4 linked regions of the Saccharomyces cerevisiae S288C genome follow. The gene in region 1 interacts genetically with each later gene. Each region holds a gene or a part of one and is shown in the gene's direction. Other genes may lie near its edges. The genes, in order: MGA2, TSC3, OPI1 and RGT1.

Region 1 (6,487 bases):
GCATGGACCCCTCTACGGTGACATGTATTGATCAATCTTTTCACATAAGCATCCATAAAAGGTGAAGTCATAGTCACTAGATCCCTATTTGGCAAAACGTGTTCAGGCAAGTTTCTCAGTTTTTTAATGGTCGAAAATATGTAGTCCCAACGACCACAGTTCAAACCGCTTGAATGTTCTCTTATTTGATAGATAATCTCCTCCATTTGGAAGGCCGCTGGCAAAGTTTCAATCAGAACAGTGGCCCTAATGGTACCGCGGGGCATTCCAATAAAATCTTGTGCAACACAGAATATGTCATTCCATAGTTTTACCTCCATATGGTGCTCCATCTTTGGTAAGTAAAAATAAGGTCCTTTACCAATTTTAACTAACTCTTTAGCGTTATGGTAAAAATATAAACCAAAATCGAAGATGGAAGCACTAATCGGTTCATCATCTATGTAAAGGTGCTTCTCCACCATGTGCCAGCCACGAGGTCTGACAATTAAAGTGGGCAGTCTTGAAATGTCATCCTTCAACCTGTACTCCTTTCTTGGTGTCTTGAAATCGATTTGATTTCTAATGGCATCATAAAGATTAACTTGTCCGTAAATCATGTTCTCCCAAGTTGGAGATGAAGAGTCCTCGAAATCAGTCATATATGTCGTTACTTCAGCATTCAAAGCGTTGACTAACATATTTCTCAATGGTGGCCCAGTAATCTCGCTGGATCTGTTGATCAAACCAGGGGCTGGGATAGCACCTTGCCATGTAGGATCGTTCCTGATTTGTTCGGTTTCCGGCAAGAAATCAAATCGGTATTCACCAGAGTCTAACTTTGATTGTAAATTGCTTCTGTTGGCTAAAAGCTGTTTCCGTGTTGAATTGAAAGTTCTATGCAGCAAAACAATGAACTCTAAGGCATCTTTTGTTAAAATATCAGCTACAGTAGTTTTGGAAGGTTCAAATTGAGGAGTCGTGTCGATGTCTGCGTATAGAGCAGTGTTGTCCAAGCTTATCTTCACCATTGTTCAGTGCTCTTTACCGTGCCTATGACACATACTCTAAGTGATATCAACTGCACAGAAAGTGAAGAATTAAGACTACATGCGTAAATGTCCCCATTTTATACTTATTGCTTCACCAATTGACGAAACTATCCAATCTTTGTGATACTTTCACGATGTACCTTATCCAAGATAAGCCAAAACTTATGAAATTCAATTTATGTGATAAGAAAAGCAAACGCAATTTTCCAAAATCCGCGGTATTCTATCGCACCGCAACTTTCAGCGGAGATTTTATGTCGATAATCGTAAACCTATGAAATTACTAATACATGAACATTTACATATTTACTTCGCCCACAGTCGCAGAATTAGATGATAATACAAACGTCGCCATCGCTGTAGTGTTCTTCCACACAGTCCTTCTCGGGCCTGTCAGGGTCCAGACTTTCGTAGATTAAGACTGAAAAATCCAAATGTTCTTCCTTGCCAAGTACTATCATGGGCGCATGCCAGGTACCTAAGCCATAGGTAACGGCCTGATTACCCAAACATGTAAAAGCCCTCAACGTAGACAAGTCTGGCTTATTTCCAATTTCTTTAGCGACTACTACCAAGTATGCTACTTCCGCTGACGTTCTCCCCATAGGCACAAACGTCTGCGTACTACACGGATGCTTTTCGAGGACTTTGATAGAATGAGAAATCGCCTGATTGGAGCCTTGAGTGAATACTCTATTCAGGTGCGGCTGTGGAAAGCAACGGAATAGGTTCCAATTGGGAACTTTACTGGTAGATTTATTCTCTACCTGGCTTACTTGAAGCAATTTGATCGCTGTTCCCTGGTTTGCACCTTTTTCAAGGTTTTGCATCCTTGAAATCTCTTCATCTGGCGAAATTATCGTCCCATACTCCTCGAAGGACTCTTTCGTCAATGTCTCCGCCACCACGGTCACCATATCTTTGCTTCAAAGATTTTTTGCCCTACAAGATAAGCATCAAGAGCGATTGGATGACAGTTACTGACTTATATATGCGAATGCACATGAATAGACCGCATATGCTTCTTATCAGTCTTACCTCGCTTATCTTTCCCCATTTATTTGCCAATCCATCTTATCTTATCTGGCACTTTGTCTCAGGGTTAGTGTTACAAAAAGGCTAGGACTTATTTCCAAAATTCTACTTTTGAAAATAACCCTAACAATAAAAGCAAGGGCATTCTGATGTTACCCTAGAAATGTCGTATTTCTTTTTATATCGTGGATCATGACAAAAAACTCAACATTTTCAAATGGGTGAGCTCTAAACCAGAAAATACAGCCGCCGAAAGCCTTTTAAAAGGACAGCGGCGCTTGATCAACAGTCGTTCTTGGGGTCGTTAAGACTAGATCCTGCTTCCCCCCCTTATTGTGCATTTAAAGGCACTTATTGAAGGTCATTTTGGCGAACAGAACATTTCGTTATGCAGCAGAACAGTGAGTTCTTAACGGAAACACCTGGAAGCGACCCTCATATATCTCAATTGCACGCGAATAGCGTAATGGAATCACAGCTCTTGGACGATTTCCTCCTGAACGGGTCTCCCATGTACCAGGATGATAGCATGGCGCATATTAATATTGATGAGGGTGCTAATTTCCAAAATTTTATCAAGACAGATGAGGGTGATTCGCCCAACCTGTTGTCTTTCGAAGGTATCGGTAACAATACTCATGTCAACCAAAACGTGTCCACTCCACTGGAGGAGGAAATGGAAAGTAACAGAGCCTTGAAGGAGGAAGAAGAGGACGAGCATGAAAATAAGGTTTTTAATGAAAAAAATATAGGCAACCCTGCTCATGACGAGATTGTATTTGGAAGAAAGGAGACGATTCAATCTGTTTACATAAATCCTTTAGATTACCTTAAAGTGAACGCAGCGCAGCTACCTTTGGATGTAGAGGTCTCAGGTTTGCCACAAGTATCTAGAGTGGAAAATCAACTGAAACTGAAAGTGAAAATTACGTCTGAAACACCACTAAACCAAAGCATGCTTTACTTGCCTAGCGATTCCATTTCAAGAGAAAAGTTTTATTTAAAAAAAAATATCGAGGATTTTTCAGAAGACTTCAAGAAAAATCTTCTGTACATCAATGCGTTTGTTCTATGTGCGGTCAGCAACAGAACGACAAATGTTTGTACCAAGTGTGTTAAGCGAGAACAAAGAAGAGCCGCTAGAAGGAAATCAGGTATTGCAGACAATTTACTCTGGTGTAATAATATTAATAGAAGGTTAGTCGTGTTCAATAACAAACAGGTTTTCCCCATAATGAAAACTTTCGATAATGTTAAGGAGTTTGAATTAACTACCAGGCTAGTTTGTTATTGCAGGCACCATAAGGCAAATAATGGCTTTGTCATATTATTCACTATAACAGATTGGCAAAATAGACTGTTGGGTAAGTTTACGACAACACCTATTATGATCACGGATAGAAAACCAGCAAATATGGATACCACCAAGTTTAATAACACTACTACCTCGTCCAGAAGGCAGCTAACGGAAGAAGAATCTACCACAGAATATTATTCAACGGATAACAACCAATTGAGCAAAGACGAAAATATGCCATTTCAATATACTTATCAACACAACCCATATGATAATGACAGTCAAATGAATAATATTCCACTGAAAGACAAAAACGTACCATTCCCATATTCCATCTCTCAACAGACAGATTTGCTTCAGAACAATAACTTATCACTGAACCTTTCTCTGCCCAATCAGCATATTCCATCACCAACATCTATGAGCGAAGAAGGCTCAGAATCATTTAACTATCATCATCGCGATAATGACAATCCCGTCCGTACTATCTCTTTGACAAATATTGAACAACAGAGTCAATTGAACCAACGGAAAAGAGCACGCAATAATTTGGAAAATGACATTGGTAAACCCCTATTCAAGCATTCCTTTTCAAATTCAATCAGTGCAACAAATACGATGAATCCAGCTTTACATTCAATGCAAGATTTCTCAATGAAAAACAACAACAATAATTTGCCATCAATTAATCGCGTTATACCTTCACAAGGCCCAATCAATGGTGGTATCGAAGTTACATTACTGGGTTGTAACTTCAAAGATGGTCTTTCTGTAAAGTTCGGCTCTAATCTTGCCCTTTCTACGCAATGCTGGAGTGAGACCACGATCGTCACTTATCTCCCTCCCGCTGCCTACGCGGGTCAAGTTTTCGTCTCTATTACTGATACGAATAATGAAAATAATAACGATGACCTTCCCCAAGAAATTGAGATCAATGACAATAAAAAGGCCATATTTACCTATGTTGATGATACTGATAGGCAACTGATTGAATTGGCTTTGCAAATTGTGGGATTAAAAATGAATGGTAAGTTAGAAGATGCAAGAAATATCGCGAAGAGGATTGTTGGCAATGATTCTCCTGATAGCGGTACAAATGGCAACAGCTGTTCAAAAAGCACAGGTCCCTCTCCAAACCAACACAGTATGAATCTGAACACAAGTGTTCTTTACTCCGATGAAGTCTTGATACAAAAAGTTATAAAATCATTGAACATAAATTCCAATATTTCCATATGTGATTCATTAGGGAGAACTTTATTACATCTTGCCTGTTTGAAAAATTACTCAAGCCTTGTGTATACATTGATTAAAAAGGGTGCTCGTGTTAACGATATTGATTCCTTTGGGCTAACTCCATTACATTTTGCTTGCATAAGTGGTGACCCTAAAATTATTAAGATGCTTTTAAATTGTAAAGTAAATTATTCACTGAGGTCACACAACGGATTAACTGCAAGAGAAGTATTCATAGCAAACCACATTCATTCAAAGGAAATAGACAAAAAACAAGATAACAGAGACAACCATAAGTTTGTTCATAATGACACTTATATCAGCGAAGTATTGTCATTGTTTGAAGAATTCCAAAACGGTACGAAGTTTACCGATAGTGTAGAAACAGACAGTAATTATTCTATTAGCAGGAAATATTCACAATCCAGTTTCAATTCAAGCCTGCTAGACAATGAATCTTTGAATGAGAACTTATTCGAAAGCCAAAGCATGATAAATCCCACTTCTATGGAGATTCAGCATCCAACCTTGCAACTATTTGAGAATTCAAGTTACTCTGAGTACGACCAAAGTGATTTCGAAGAAGACGGGGATGAAGATCTGTTCGTCACTGACGAAGTAGAAAAACCAGGTGTTGCATGCAGGGAGGAACAAAGCGAACTCCTTGATATTGGATCTAGCGCCAACGAACCCGAAGAGGATAATGGTAGTACATCTCTCTGGAATAGAGTTTTACATCGAATTAATGATGACTTACCAAAATATGAGGATCTGTTCCCGTTGTCTTGGGGTAAAGATGATAAATTGAAAACCACAAATCAAGACAGTATTGTGGAGCAGTCAGCATCTAATATTGAAAACTCTGAAAATTCGGAGGAAGAGGATTATGAGGAAGAGGAAGAATTTTTGAAAAAACAGTTTAACAGATTCTTCCAAAACAAACAAAACTTCCGAAATGATAAAATGTTAATATTTTTCTGGATACCCTTAACACTACTACTTTTGACATGGTTCATCATGTACAAATTTGGCAACCAAGATAGTTCCATCAATCATATAAGCGAATTAATCTCAGAGTACTTGAGAATTGCATTAGCAAAGTTCTTGCTGGGAAATGAAAGGATGAAAACTGCATTCAGGTCAAAATTATCAAACCTGCAAACAACAAGAATGTTGAACGATTTAATTGTCAGTTAGTCTGCTTTTTTACGTATATATATATATATATGTGTGTATAATGAAAAGACAGTACACTTAAAAGAAGAGAAAGTCATTTAAAAAAAGTCAAAAAAAAATTAAACTTGTAAATGTCAGCGTAACGATAATGTATATACTTTAAATGTAAACTACAATCTTGAAGATCTTTTAACACGAGCGCAATGTCTATCGAACAATTTCTTGGCTCTAACCCAGACAGGAGCAGTTTTTCTTTGAGGTAGGAGCTCTAAAGATGGTAAGAGATCATGAGAGAAAAATTCTGAAGCTTCTCTTGGCAGCAAAGAAGGCAAGTGATCAATAGAGATGACAGATAATTTAGGCCCGGCAGTGGTAGGTACCAGAACGGTAGGTTTGTTAAACACAGTAGCCACAGTGTATATTGGGATGGGGTTGTGAGGGTTGGTAGTGTCTGCTGATACGTCCACCACGGTCCTTAGTCTTCTGTTAGGATTATTCAGTTTCTCCATGTTAGTGAAAGGAGCAATTGGCTTCGATAGATATATACAATTGATAAAAATATCAGCTTGTGGAATTTCGTCAAAGGGACCACCACGGGAAGTTTCTTTGATATCCCATTTTAATATGTTAGCATCTGGAATACCAACTTTGTGCAACAGATCGATGGCACCGGAACCACATCTTCCTAGCGCACCAATGATTAACACGGTTG
Region 2 (3,212 bases), on another chromosome or scaffold:
CAGTTCTGGTACAGCCAATAATCCTCAAGAAATCAATACAATCCAGTCTCCAGGTATAGAGGACAAATCAATTTTTGAAAATAAAACTCCTGGAGAGTTATATTATCCAAGCGTGAGCGAATTAGATACTTATTTGGACAAAGAATTGGTCAAACAATCAAGTGATCCGACTATTTCTGAACAAAGTCCTCGTTTGAATACCCAATCACTACCACAGAGGCAAAAGAGCACAAGCTCTTATTCTTCAGGTGGCAGATCAATGAAGAGCACATCATATGGTGCAGCAACGATCGGGTCAGACGAAGCCTTGGCGAACGAGAAAACTGCTGGTATTAATAAGATGAAACAACATAAATCGAATAATCCCTTTCCAAAAATGAATGTTGCATACCATTCTACGAATGAATTGAGCAATGACGCAAGTAACTTTTTCCTGGAAGAACAACAGCAAGGCCAGAGATATCAGCAAGCTCAAAATCAAACAGGTACACAAGGGAATACCTTTCCAGATGAATCTCAGTATCAATCTAGAGTTGAACAACAGCAGCAACAACAGGACCAACCCAAAGGACCTGCTAATTATAGCCAAAGAAATTTCTACACTGGGAGGGATCGGTCCAATAAACCTATGCAGTTGGGTGGAACTATTGCTGGAGATAGTGGTAATAGAAGAGTCAACTTTCAGAATATTTCTCAAAATTACGCCACGAACTCCCAGTCAGGATATCTCCCAAGTCAAAATTCCCCAGCAATTCCAATGGTGAGACCTGTTATTTCCATGAATCAGCAGCAAGCGCAACAGATACAAGCCCAGCAATTGCAGGCACAACAGATGCAGGCAAAGCAACAGATGCAAGCCAAGCAGCAGATGCAAGTTCAGCAACAACTGCAAGTCCAACAGCAAATGCAAATTCAAAATGCAAATAATAATGGTACTTACGTCTCTGATAGAACAAATCATACCACAGAAGATATGAGAAATGCTCAGGGGGGTGAACCTCCAATTCTTGCAGGAAATTCTGCAAATGAACCAATGCACTCATCCTCTAAAAATGAAGCTCTCTTAATTGAACTATCTCCATTAAAAGAAGATGCAGGAAAGCAATCTTTCCAAGATACAAATGAGCCTCAAACTGGCGGTATCGAAGATGCCGGCGGTTCAGGAACTATCAAAGGCTCGAACAATAATCGAAATGGCGTTTTAAATTTAAGTTTGAATGAGATGGACTTATCAAGAGATGATACTGGTGCTGCTGTCTCCTCCTTTTCATCGTCTTCATCGTCTGCATCAATTCAACAAGCTAAGCTTTCTGGACGCAAAGGTTCCAGTAAGAGGAACAATTATTCAACAGACGAATTGGGAGATAGTATGGTCTCCAGCGAAAGCATTGATATTGATTTGGATGATGCAAGGAGAGGAAAAACAGCTGAAAGAAGACCACTCCATAATGAAAGAGGTCATAAAGACCAGGCAAGATCAAGTGATGCTAGTAAGTCTAATCAATTCAAAAGCAAGGACTTCAGCAGCGTATCAACAAGGCAACCGCGGCAGTCATTGGATCTGAATTTCCAGGAAGTAAATCTGTCTTCACCAACGTTAACTCAAGAGCATAGAAATAAAAACGACTCGCCAGCACCAAATTCACATCACTCGTATAGAGTTTCACCTCATGCTTCCACCGCAATAACTGAGAATAAGCGCCACAGTACTGGTCACGAACTGTCAACCCGGTCAAATGGCAAGCATGAAACACACAGGACTGGTTCCAAGCAAAGGCACGATTTGGAAAGATACCGGCATTCGAAGGATAAGGATAGCAATAGCAGCATTACTATTAGCACCTCAACTCCATCAGAGATGAGAAAATCCTTCGCTAGGGCCCGTCAATCGCTTGATTTGGAAAGGGTCCGTCGTGAAGCGATGGCAAGTAGTGCATCCAGTAGTGGTGGCAGTAACGGGAAAAGGAGATCTTTTTTCTCAGTCTTTAGAAGCGAGAAATGATTCGATAAATAGAGCACATATAAAATCATATACATACATTGTTACATATAGAGGCGCAGACAATCCGTATATCTTCCTCAAAAACTAAATTGATAGAACAATAGTAACTCAAATCATATGCATTAAGCATATCGTGCGAGATGACGTTTACTCCTGACGCGCTTAACGAGAAGCGGTTAAGTGAAGAGTAATAGTGCTCGCAATTTGACAGAAATGACACCATTTTAAAAGTACTAGAGATAAAGAGTGTAGAAACCGGAAGAACAAAGGTGGAACATATCATAAGGGGAAGAAATGACACAACATAAAAGCTCGATGGTGTACATACCCACCACTAAGGAAGCTAAAAGACGTAATGGGAAATCAGAAGGCATACTAAATACTATTGAAGAAGTGGTGGAAAAGCTTTATTGGACCTACTACATACATTTACCCTTTTATTTAATGGCCTCTTTTGATTCATTCTTCCTCCATGTTTTTTTTCTCACAATTTTCAGTTTGAGTTTCTTCGGTATACTAAAGTATTGCTTCCTTTGAATGATTATTTATATCCTTATTCGGTTAATAATAGTATAAGCTGGAGGCAAGGGGACAGAAAATTTAGGAGGATATCATGGAGGATAGAGTTACATAAATATACACACAATACATAAACTAATAATTGCTTGTGGCTATAGGATATAATTTATAACAGTTGATGTGCCTTTGAAAAATGACATCGTTTGGAATGAGATCAAATTTATCACTTGATGAAATCACAGTGAAAAGCGACTTGCAATGGCAGTAGAGATGACAGGTAAATTCATCCAAAAAGAGAGCCCGAAGTCTTTCTCACATTCAGAAATGGCAGAAGCAGTACTAGAAAACGTTAACGTTCCTGCAGTCGTTTCAAAAGATGAGTGTATTTATTGCTTTGAATCCCCTTATAATGAACCATTGGCCCTCAATGCATCACCTAAACATTCATTGAATATATGCTTAAACTGTTTCCAAGCTACGTGCAACAGACATGTTCCACTCCATATCCGAGTCACAGAATATGCTTGCGATACCATACATTCCAATTATTTAACTATTGCTAAAGTGGAGAAACCTAAGCAAGAAAATGTAGAAGAAAATAATAACAACAAAAAAATAAAGCTACAGGTAATTGAGACGTCAGAAGACGACACCCACAACACTATTTGGAGTTTACAAAGGTTCAATGGTG
Region 3 (4,252 bases), on another chromosome or scaffold:
CTATCGTCGGTTCTTTCAAGTTTCAAACAATGTTATCATGACGGGTCGCCTCCAATTCTCTCCCAAAACGATTGGTTCTTTATACATTTGAAGAGAGACTTTCTGCATTTCGTTTCAGTGATACATACCACAGACAAACCAAATATAGACTTAATGACTATACTAGCCTTTTTGGAACAATTTTATCATCTTTTACAAAAATATTTTGAAATCGAGGTCTTAACTAAGAATGTCATACTGGACAACATCTTACTTGTCCTGGAGTTGATTGATGAATGTATAGACTTTGGTATCGTACAAGTGACGGATCCAAGTATCATCAAGGACTACATTCGTGTGAAGGTCAACGTACCAAGAGTTACAGTAGACAATGAGGAGTGGAGCCCTGGTGAAGAGAGCAGTAGTAGTAGCGGTAGCGATAGCGATAGCGAGTACAGCAATACTAATAAGAGGAAGGATAAGAAGAAGAAAAGGAAGAAGAAAAAGGGCACTAAAGGGAAAAGCGTGGGCAAAAGTAAATTAAAAAGTATAATGGTAAACAATAAAGAAAATAGGGGCATAAACGTGGTGGAAACTGTCAAGGAGACACTAAGGAACAAGAATGATACCGGTAAAGAAGCCGCTAATGACGAGCTCCCCAATGACGGTAATGATTTATACATCAATGGCGATATTGCGAAGACGATTATAATGCCCATATCATGGAGAACAAAGGGGATACATTACGCCAAAAACGAGTTCTTTCTTGATGTTATTGAACGTGTTCAGTACTTGATGGATTTTGAAAAAGGAGTGATTAGGAAAAATCTGATACATGGAGAGATTGTGTGCAGATGCTATTTATCAGGGATGCCCAAACTGAAAATATCCATAAACAAGATACTGAACAGGGACCCCCAGTTCATGTCGAATTCCAGCTTTCATCAGTGTGTTTCACTAGATTCCATAAACACTATTGAAAAAGATGAAGAAAAGAATAGTGACGATGATGCTGGTTTGCAGGCCGCCACAGATGCAAGAGAAATCGAATTTATACCGCCGGATGGCGAATTTGTTCTTTGCCAATACGAGTTGAAGAGACATGTAAAGGATGCGCCGATGGTGAGGTTGAAAGATTTTGAAATCAAACCTAAACTGAAGAAGTTTAAAATCCAAATTGTAACCAAAATTCAAACAAATTTTAAACCCACCAACTCAACGTCGAAGCTAAACGTGAGAATTCCCCTGACAAAAGTCTTCCAGGAATATAAAATAGACCTCAGCAAGCAAATTAGATTCAAGGCAAACATCGGCAAGGTCGTGTTTAACTTGAGTGACGATTTTCTCCTCTGGGAGATACAAACCATGAAGGGGCACCGAGAACATAGCACAAACAAGAGCTCACAGTACAACAGCGACGAAGATGATCCAAATACGTGTGCATCCATGGTGGCAGAGTTCCCCCTCTTCAACCAGGAAGAATATGACCGCCTGCAAGAAGAAATGAAAACCTCAATGAATCCGCCGCCCTTGCGCACGGGACCCAGGCTGGAAGAACTATATAGACAAGTGCACGACCAACAAACTTCCCACGTTACTCCTCGAGATAAGTTGGTCAACATTGATTTCGAGATTCCGTACTGTACATGCAGTGGCCTGAAAGTTGAGTACTTGAAGGTCGAAGAGCCACAATTGCAGTACCAGTCTTTCCCCTGGGTCAGATACAAGACCGTCAGCGACGAAGAGTACGCATATATTGTTTGACGCTTACGCAGACATCTCATAGATAGACAAATGGTACGTTCGTTTTAGTATATAGATGGCACCTTATAATCTTCATATGCAACCGGGTAAAATCGGGCGTTCTTATTTTTTTTTTTTCCACCTCAATGAGAGGGATTAATAAGAGGATTGGAGCAAGACAGCGATCTGCACTTAGCCAAGAAAGCATATCAGGCCAGAACGTGGCATTTTGTTTACAGTGCTGATTAAAGCGTGTGTATCAGGACAGTGTTTTTAACGAAGATACTAGTCATTGATGTCTGAAAATCAACGTTTAGGATTATCAGAGGAAGAGGTAGAAGCGGCTGAAGTACTTGGGGTGTTGAAACAATCATGCAGACAGAAGTCGCAGCCTTCAGAGGACGTCTCACAAGCTGACAAAATGCCGGCAAGTGAGTCGTCTACGACGCCGCTAAACATTTTGGATCGCGTAAGTAACAAAATTATCAGTAACGTAGTGACATTCTACGATGAAATAAACACCAACAAGAGGCCACTGAAATCAATAGGGAGGCTGCTAGACGATGACGATGACGAGCATGATGATTACGACTACAACGACGATGAGTTCTTCACCAACAAGAGACAGAAGCTGTCGCGGGCGATTGCCAAGGGGAAGGACAACTTGAAAGAGTACAAGCTGAACATGTCCATCGAGTCTAAGAAGAGGCTTGTAACGTGCTTGCATCTTTTAAAGCTGGCCAATAAGCAGCTTTCCGATAAAATCTCGTGTTTACAGGACCTTGTTGAAAAGGAGCAGGTGCATCCTTTGCACAAGCAAGATGGAAATGCTAGGACGACCACTGGAGCTGGCGAGGACGAGACATCGTCAGACGAAGACGACGACGATGAGGAGTTTTTTGATGCCTCAGAGCAGGTCAACGCCAGCGAGCAGTCTATTGTGGTGAAAATGGAGGTGGTCGGCACAGTCAAGAAAGTCTACTCGCTGATATCGAAGTTCACAGCAAATTCGCTGCCGGAGCCCGCAAGATCTCAGGTTCGGGAAAGTCTTCTAAACTTACCCACAAATTGGTTCGACAGCGTCCACAGTACATCACTGCCGCATCATGCTTCGTTTCATTATGCCAACTGTGAAGAACAAAAAGTGGAGCAACAGCAACAGCAACAGCAACAGCAGCAGCAGCAGCAACTTTTGCAGCAGCAACTCCTGCAACAGCAACAGCAAAAAAGGAACAAGGATGGCGACGACTCAGCCTCGCCGTCCTCCTCCGTAACTGCGAATGGGAAAGTACTCATTCTCGCCAAAGAATCCCTGGAAATGGTGAGAAATGTCATGGGCGTAGTCGACTCCACGTTGGGCAAGGCTGAAGAATGGGTGAAGCAGAAACAGGAGGTAAAAGAAATGATCAGGGAGCGTTTCTTGCAACAGCAGCAACAGTACAGGCAGCAACAGCAGAAGGATGGCAATTACGTAAAGCCCTCTCAGGACAACGTGGATAGCAAGGACTAACCGAGACAGATTGAGGTCTTTCATGCATTACCACCAGTAATAATATTATACGGAATAATATAGTTTATATAATATCCATAATCATAATCATAATCATAATCATAATCATAATCGTGATATTGTACCAGCCCCGCTTCTCCCCTTTTGAACTACCATTATTATCGGACCCTCTTTACCTTTGAATGGCTCAGTAAGGACCTTTGCGCAGCCGTAAGGGGGTCGGGAATACATTTCCGGGGTTGATCCTCGAGGAAAAGTGCTATCTATATAAGGAGAAGCCCTTCTAGATCCAAATATCAGGGGTAACTCTTCACAACTGGCCAGGAACATATTCCAAGTTAAAAAGAAAAAATAATTATTAGAAACCAATTACCAACACAAGATGCTAAGATCAAATTTATGCAGAGGATCTCGAATCCTTGCAAGACTGACCACTACACCAAGGACATACACATCTGCGGCGACAGCTGCGGCTGCGAATCGGGGACATATCATCAAAACATACTTCAATAGAGATTCTACGACAATTACGTTCTCCATGGAGGAGTCCAGCAAGCCGGTTTCCGTTTGCTTTAACAACGTTTTTCTTAGAGATGCCTCCCATAGTGCCAAGCTGGTGACCACGGGAGAACTGTATCATAACGAGAAATTGACCGCTCCTCAGGACATTCAAATTTCTGAGGACGGAAAATCTCTAGTGGTGAAATGGAAAGATGGCGGTCATCACCAGTTCCCTTTACAATTCTTTATCGACTATAAAGGTTCCAGTTTTGTTTCGCCAGCAACAAGAAAACAAGAATCCAGATATAGACCCCAGTTATGGAATAAGCGCATCCTGAAAGATAACGTCAAGGACTTACTTTCTGTGAGCTACAACGAGTTTATTGATCCTAAGGATGACTCCAAGCTTTTCCAAACGCTGGTCAACCTACAAAAGTTTGGTATCGCTTTCATTTCCGGTACTCCTTCATCCTCCTCTGAAGGCCTTACCATACAAAAGATCTGTGAAAGGATCGGACC
Region 4 (6,453 bases), on another chromosome or scaffold:
TTTTTGTATTTTTAACCGCAGAAACCATATTTGTATGGGCTTACTATGATTTGAAAAATGAAAAAGGTGATACTGCGGGAATAAAAGTTTATATGGTGTTCTTGTCGATATTGACGGCTGGTAAAGTTACATTTTCATTTTTCCTATTATTGATTATCGCTTTGGGCTACGGTATCGTGTACCCTAAGTTGAATAAAACGTTGATGAGGCGTTGCCAAATGTATGGTGCGTTAACTTATGCAATTTGCATTGGATTTTTGATCCAAAGTTATTTGACCGACATGGAGGCACCATCTCCACTAATCTTGATCACCTTGATTCCTATGGCGCTTGCATTAATCATATTTTACTACATGATTATTAGATCCATGACAAAAACAGTTATCTATTTGAAAGAGCAAAGGCAGATCGTAAAATTGAACATGTACAAGAAGCTACTATACATCATTTATGCGTCCTTTTTGAGTGTACTAGCTGGTAGTATAGTTTCGTCATTTATTTACGTTGGCATGAACACTATTGATATGATTGAGAAGAACTGGAGGTCAAGGTTCTTCGTTACTGATTTCTGGCCTACGTTAGTGTATTTCATTGTTTTCGTTACCATCGCGTTCTTATGGAGACCAACAGATACTTCATACATGCTAGCCGCATCCCAACAACTACCCACAGACCCAGAAAATGTCGCGGACTTTGACTTGGGCGATTTGCAATCGTTTGACGATCAAGATGACGCAAGTATCATCACTGGTGAGCGTGGCATAGACGAGGATGACCTCAATTTGAATTTTACTGATGATGAAGAAGGACACGATAATGTAAATAACCATAGCCAAGGCCACGGGCCAGTGTCTCCCTCTCCAACAAAATAACGCTACCTCCAGCAGATTTGATTAGGTGATGAGACAAATAGTTTCTTCGAGGGCAGTCACGAAATGTTTACAAGCGAAAAGAAAGAAATTATGAACCATATGCACTTCTGTTCAATGCGATGTGAATATGAATATGAATATAAATATGAATATAAATAAATAAATAAATAAATGCGTTGCACGTTTCTTTTCATTTATTTGTGCGTGCTTTTACCTGTTTATAACTGTAGTCACCAAAGCTATGCTATACTCTAGACCTAACTTTTTCGTTTTGTATTTATTTAGCCGCTCGCTGGAGTTTTTTTTTTTTCGGTGATAAGATGATTTATATCAAACCGAAACAAGCGAAAAGTTTCTGTTCATCGACTATAAAATGGAAGAGAAAATTGGTCCATAGACTTTTCATGTGTACTTGTTTATGAGAAGAGACGCAGGAAGACCAGAAGTGAGGAATTCCCTTTGTTCAAGGATGAACAACGAAGCCAGATAACGTAAGGTTGCGCGCTGCATCAGTGCTAACCTTATTAGCTTTCTCTGGCTTTTTCGGTCTTTCCTATGTAACATAACATGTATATTCTATTTGTTTATGATGAGACCACGTCCTTAGTGACAATGCTATAAACCCAGCTCTTCGATTCGTTTTTAATGAAAGGGAGAAGATTTTTTTGTCAAACGCTCTGAGTAATAGAATATACATGCGACAACATTTGTAGTTACTTGTCTTACGCTTCCTAGGGAACGGATCATCCGAGTAGAATATCATTTTACGGGATCACTTTATTCGGTGTGATTGCTCGTTAAGCCGCACGACCATTTTATGGGCACGCTTCCGCAAGTTGGTTCTTTCATCAGAAGCTTTACCACGATTGGCAAGTCATGTAGCATGTGCGCTAACATCGTTTATCGTTTTCTGTGACGTGGCTTATGAGCACCAGAGACGAATAATCAACAGTACATCAAACAAAAGCTACGTCACCTCACCAATAATCCGAGCTTCTTGAAATGGCAGGTATTGGATTCATAAAATATGTCGCTGCTTTGTGCATTTTCCTTTAGTTTTTTCCTTTTTTTTCATGTAGCTAACTAAGCAAGACGATTATGGGAAGGGACCTTTTAAGGAAAAACAGGAAAAAAAAATAGTAGCAACTAGTAAAAATTCAAAAAATAAAAAAAGTCAAAATAAGAACACATCAGTTAGGAACCGTGCTTGGAGTTTTGAGACTGGAGTATTGTCCATCCAACATATTCTGCTCTTTCACCATAGACTTCGTTGGAAATCGCCTCTCCCTTGTACTATATTGTGCAGAACCGTTCCCGCAATTTTCATTGGTGCAATAATAACACGCTTCTTCGATTCTCACATTTGTCAAGAAGCTGTACTCTTCTCTCAAACTCCAATATATTTCAAATTATGAACGAGCTGAACACTGTTTCGACTAACTCCAGTGACTCCACCAAGAACGGTGGTACATCCAATAGTCCCGACGATATGGACTCCGCAGCAGCAGCAAGTCACGCAATAAAGAAAAGAACAAAGGCCTCCCGGGCCTGCGATCAGTGTCGTAAAAAGAAGATTAAATGTGACTACAAAGATGAAAAGGGGGTCTGCTCAAACTGCCAAAGGAATGGAGACCGTTGTAGTTTTGATAGGGTTCCTTTGAAAAGGGGACCCTCGAAAGGCTATACGAGGAGCACCAGCCATCCAAGGACTAACGAAATACAAGACCACAATAACTCAAGGTCGTATAATACGTTTGATAATAGTAACAATACCCTGAATAATAATACGGGCAATAGCGGCGACAACGGTATAAACAGTAACACAGTTCCAAGTACCCCTTCGAGATCTAATTCAGTTTTATTGCCCCCACTGACACAGTACATTCCCCAGGCTGGTGGCATTCCTCCTAGTTTCCAAAATCCAGCGATACAATCAACTATGCCCGCGGGTAATATTGGCCAACAGCAGTTTTGGAAAGTGCCCTACCATGAGTTTCAACACCAAAGAAAAGGATCTATCGATTCTTTGCAAAGTGATATATCGGTAAGAACATTAAATCCCAACGAGCAGTTGTCTTATAACACCGTTCAACAGTCTCCCATAACGAATAAACATACTAATGATTCTGGAAATGCAAACGGAAGTGTCACCGGCTCAGGCAGTGCCTCTGGTAGTGGTGGTTATTGGTCCTTTATAAGAACTTCTGGTTTACTAGCTCCTACTGATGATCATAATGGGGAACAGACAAGAAGATCAAGTTCCATACCTTCTTTGCTACGAAATACTTCAAATTCTCTTTTACTAGGTGGCCAGCCTCAGCTTCCCCCACCTCAGCAACAATCGCAGCCACAAGCACACCAACAAAAGTTGCAACAAGGACAGAACCTATACTCGTATTCTCAATTTTCCCAGCAGCAACCGTACAACCCATCGATATCATCTTTTGGCCAGTTCGCTGCTAATGGTTTTCATTCTAGACAAGGATCAGTCGCCAGCGAGGCTATGTCTCCCAGTGCACCTGCCATGTTTACTAGCACATCTACAAACCCCGTAAATGTTGCACAGCAAACACAAAGACCTCAAGGACAGCAGGTACCGCAATTTTCATCTGAGTTGGATGGAAATAAAAGGCGACAATCAGCCCCCGTATCAGTAACATTATCCACGGACAGGCTGAATGGTAATGAGAATAATAATGGTGAAATTAACAACAATAATGGCAGCAATAATAGCGGTTCTTCTAAGGATACATCTCAACATTCCCAAGAATCTGTAACTACACCAGCGGCTTTGGAAGCATCCAGCCCTGGATCAACGCCACAGAGAAGTACAAAAAAACGCAGAAAAAGTTACGTATCTAAGAAGACAAAACCAAAGAGAGATTCATCTATATCTATAACATCGAAAGATTCTGCTCACCCAATGACCACTTCATCAACTATCGCGTATGGACAGATATCCGATGTAGATCTAATAGACACCTACTATGAGTTCATACATGTAGGATTTCCGATCATACCTTTAAACAAAACGACCTTGACCAGTGACTTATTGTTAGTTAACACACAGCCAATTTCCAATATACACGAAGTCAATTCATATGTTATTTTGTGGTTTAGAAATTCATTGGAATTGTTAGTTCGTGTTGCTCTGAAACAAAAGCCAGGTGGCAAGTTTTTCGATAATATTGTTGGCGTGGCTTTGTCGCCAAGTAATGACAACAACAAAGCTGGGTTCACTACAGCCACGGCAAGGGATGATGCTGAAAAAACAAGACGTGATTCACATAATGAAGTACAGGATACTTTGGAAGTGCAAAGCGTTTTTATTGCCGCCCTCAATGAATGTTTCCAAAAAATCGTGGATATTCATCCCAAATTCAGAGAAAACAACGACCAAATTTCGCCGAAGATCAAAGTCATTTATTTATCTACTTTTATTCTTTTAAATTACATTTTGGCATTTGTTGGATACGATAACTCATTTGTACTTGGAATGTCGGTGACAATTTTTAACGAATTTAAATTATACAAACTTCTATTATTTCCGGAGCCGGATATAAATGATGTGAAGCCTCCAGTTGATGAAGAGGTCAGCACTGGTAATGGGAATACAAAAACGTCCGAATTTGAAATTGGATCTGAAAGTGCTGGGCATATGAATCCATCCAATTCACCAAATTCCATGGACGAAAACATTAGTCACTATTCAGTGTTGTTTAAAAGATTATACGTTTTGCTTTCAGTGTTTGATTCTTTACAAAGCTGTGCATTCGGTGGTCCCAAGCTATTAAACATTTCCATCCAAGGTTCTACAGAAAGATTTTTTTCTAATGATTTGGGCTCAAAATGGTGCCTGGAACAAAGCCAATTGAGACTGAAAAGCGTCTTGCAAAGCTTGAAATTGGGTGAATTGATGAGTGAGCTTACCAGGAATAGAATATCAATGAACGGCAATAGGAAGCCTGGGTTCGATATTACGAACTCGTCTTCACTCTTATCGGAATATGTGGAAACTCAACCTCTATCCGTAGCACAGTTATTTTGCAAGCTATTAATTGGCAAACACAATTTCATCAATTGCTTATTATCATTATACGATTCAGAAGCAGGAGTCTATTCAGATTTGACATTGGATTTGAGTTCGAAAATAGCAGACTCTCTGTGCTCATTGATATCAATAATTTTGCAAGTATTGACGTTGATATTAAGACTGAATCCTACGAACAGTATTGATTTTAATTATAGACCACCGAACCCACCCGCTAATAATCCGACAGTGCAAGAGGGCCCATCTGCTATGGGCTCGTCTCCAGTCGCTGGGAACCTTAGCGCTGCACCTCCATCGGAGGGGAATCCAGATTTTTACAAGAAATTACTAGGCCTGAAACAAGACACTGGCACTATCCTTTCAGACCTTTGCCGGGGGATAATTTCCCCCTTTGCTATTGCTATCCTGCACGAGGTCTACAACATCACTGAACTGGTCAAGCAGATGCCTACATCACTCATTAGCATTATGATGACGGCAACTACAACGCAGAATACTCAGGACACCAAGAAGTCGCAGGACCTGGTCATGAAGCTGTCAAACTCGATGAATGAAGTAGTTCAAATCACCAGCGTGCTGACAATGATCAAGCCATTCAAGATCTTCGAGCACGAGCTTAATAAGCCCATAATGTCCCTGACAGGAGGACTTTCGTCCACGACCAGAAACGACGTCATGTGGCCAAAGTCGGGCCAAGGCCTCCGCGAGTCATCAGTCATGAAGACATTGCTTGATGAACGCCGTACTTCTGGTACACAACCGACAACGGCGCCAGTAGCCGCAGAGGAACCCAGGCTTGAGAACGTTGCCCTGGAAAATTTCGTTAGTATCGGCTGGAAGCTGTTGGACGATTCCGAGTTAGGCTGGTATTGACAGGTAACTATGCTCCCTTCTCCTGTAGGTCAGGTTCTCCCTTCTCCTCAGGCAGAAATTCGCGTAAAGAACTACCATGCAATGAATGACCAATTTAAGTAAAACACATAAATAATACTTACTTACACATATACACACTAGCTGTTTTAACCTGTAACAATACTGCCTTGTCAGAGTGCGCACGGCCTTTTACTCTGGTGCTCCACCATCTTCCACGGTATTCGAGAGTCGCCAAGCTCAGGGGCGCATGCAGACAATGGGCGGGGAGCACCTTCTTCTTTCACAGCTAAAGGGGTCTTTCTTTCTCCTACTTTTGGCATACTTTTTCAGGGGCAGAAGTCCTTATTACGCACGTTGCTACCGCCGGCTTGCTGTTACACCTGGTGCCATCACTATTGCCATTGCCATTGCTACAGATTCAATTCCGGCGCTTGCAAAGTCCAAAGTTCTGGTGTCGGTTTGTTCTCACACAGATCCCTGTACAGCGTCTTGTAACCTGATCCCCTTCCCCCGCCCCTTCTCGAACAGCCTGACGCGCTTCCTCTTTTGTTTGGGCTCGGCCCGTTTTTGCATTTCCTTTCCCTGTTTTGGATTGAGTATATAAATCTAAACAAACAACAAAGTTCTTCCAGCAGGTACCATGAGATTGAAGTTACG

Evidence for each region.
Region 2: mutations in MGA2 (region 1) and TSC3 together harm fitness less than expected from each alone (positive genetic interaction), as found in Saccharomyces cerevisiae (2 studies listed by BioGRID).
Region 3: mutations in MGA2 (region 1) and OPI1 together harm fitness more than expected from each alone (negative genetic interaction), as found in Saccharomyces cerevisiae (2 studies listed by BioGRID).
Region 4: of MGA2 (region 1) and RGT1, changing one enhances a phenotype caused by changing the other (phenotypic enhancement), as found in Saccharomyces cerevisiae (2 studies listed by BioGRID, with this or other methods).

What each region holds. Positions count from the first base shown.
Region 1 is NC_001141.2:413,670-420,156, forward strand, and holds MGA2 (Mga2p), read left to right. Parts: upstream 1-2,454; coding exon 2,455-5,796; downstream 5,797-6,487. Other genes in the region: malate synthase DAL7, read right to left, coding at 1-1,010; DAL3 (ureidoglycolate hydrolase), read right to left, coding at 1,361-1,948; LYS1 (saccharopine dehydrogenase (NAD+, L-lysine-forming)), read right to left, coding at 5,946-6,487.
Region 2 is NC_001134.8:355,651-358,862, reverse strand, and holds TSC3 (Tsc3p), read left to right. Parts: upstream 1-2,296; coding exon 2,297-2,539; downstream 2,540-3,212. Other genes in the region: serine/threonine protein kinase AKL1, read left to right, coding at 1-2,002; ubiquitin-specific protease UBP14, read left to right, coding at 2,846-3,212. UniProt on the Saccharomyces cerevisiae protein: Stimulates the activity of serine palmitoyltransferase (SPT), and thus plays a role in the biosynthesis of sphingolipids.
Region 3 is NC_001140.6:65,222-69,473, reverse strand, and holds OPI1 (transcriptional regulator OPI1), read left to right. Parts: upstream 1-2,017; coding exon 2,018-3,232; downstream 3,233-4,252. Other genes in the region: APM2 (Apm2p), read left to right, coding at 1-1,743; AIM17 (Aim17p), read left to right, coding at 3,615-4,252. UniProt on the Saccharomyces cerevisiae protein: Negative regulator of the transcriptional complex INO2-INO4 in response to phospholipid precursor availability.
Region 4 is NC_001143.9:363,322-369,774, forward strand, and holds RGT1 (Rgt1p), read left to right. Parts: upstream 1-2,283; coding exon 2,284-5,796; downstream 5,797-6,453. Other genes in the region: PTM1 (Ptm1p), read left to right, coding at 1-872; AIM26 (Aim26p), read left to right, coding at 6,044-6,400. UniProt on the Saccharomyces cerevisiae protein: Glucose-responsive transcription factor that regulates expression of several glucose transporter (HXT) genes in response to glucose.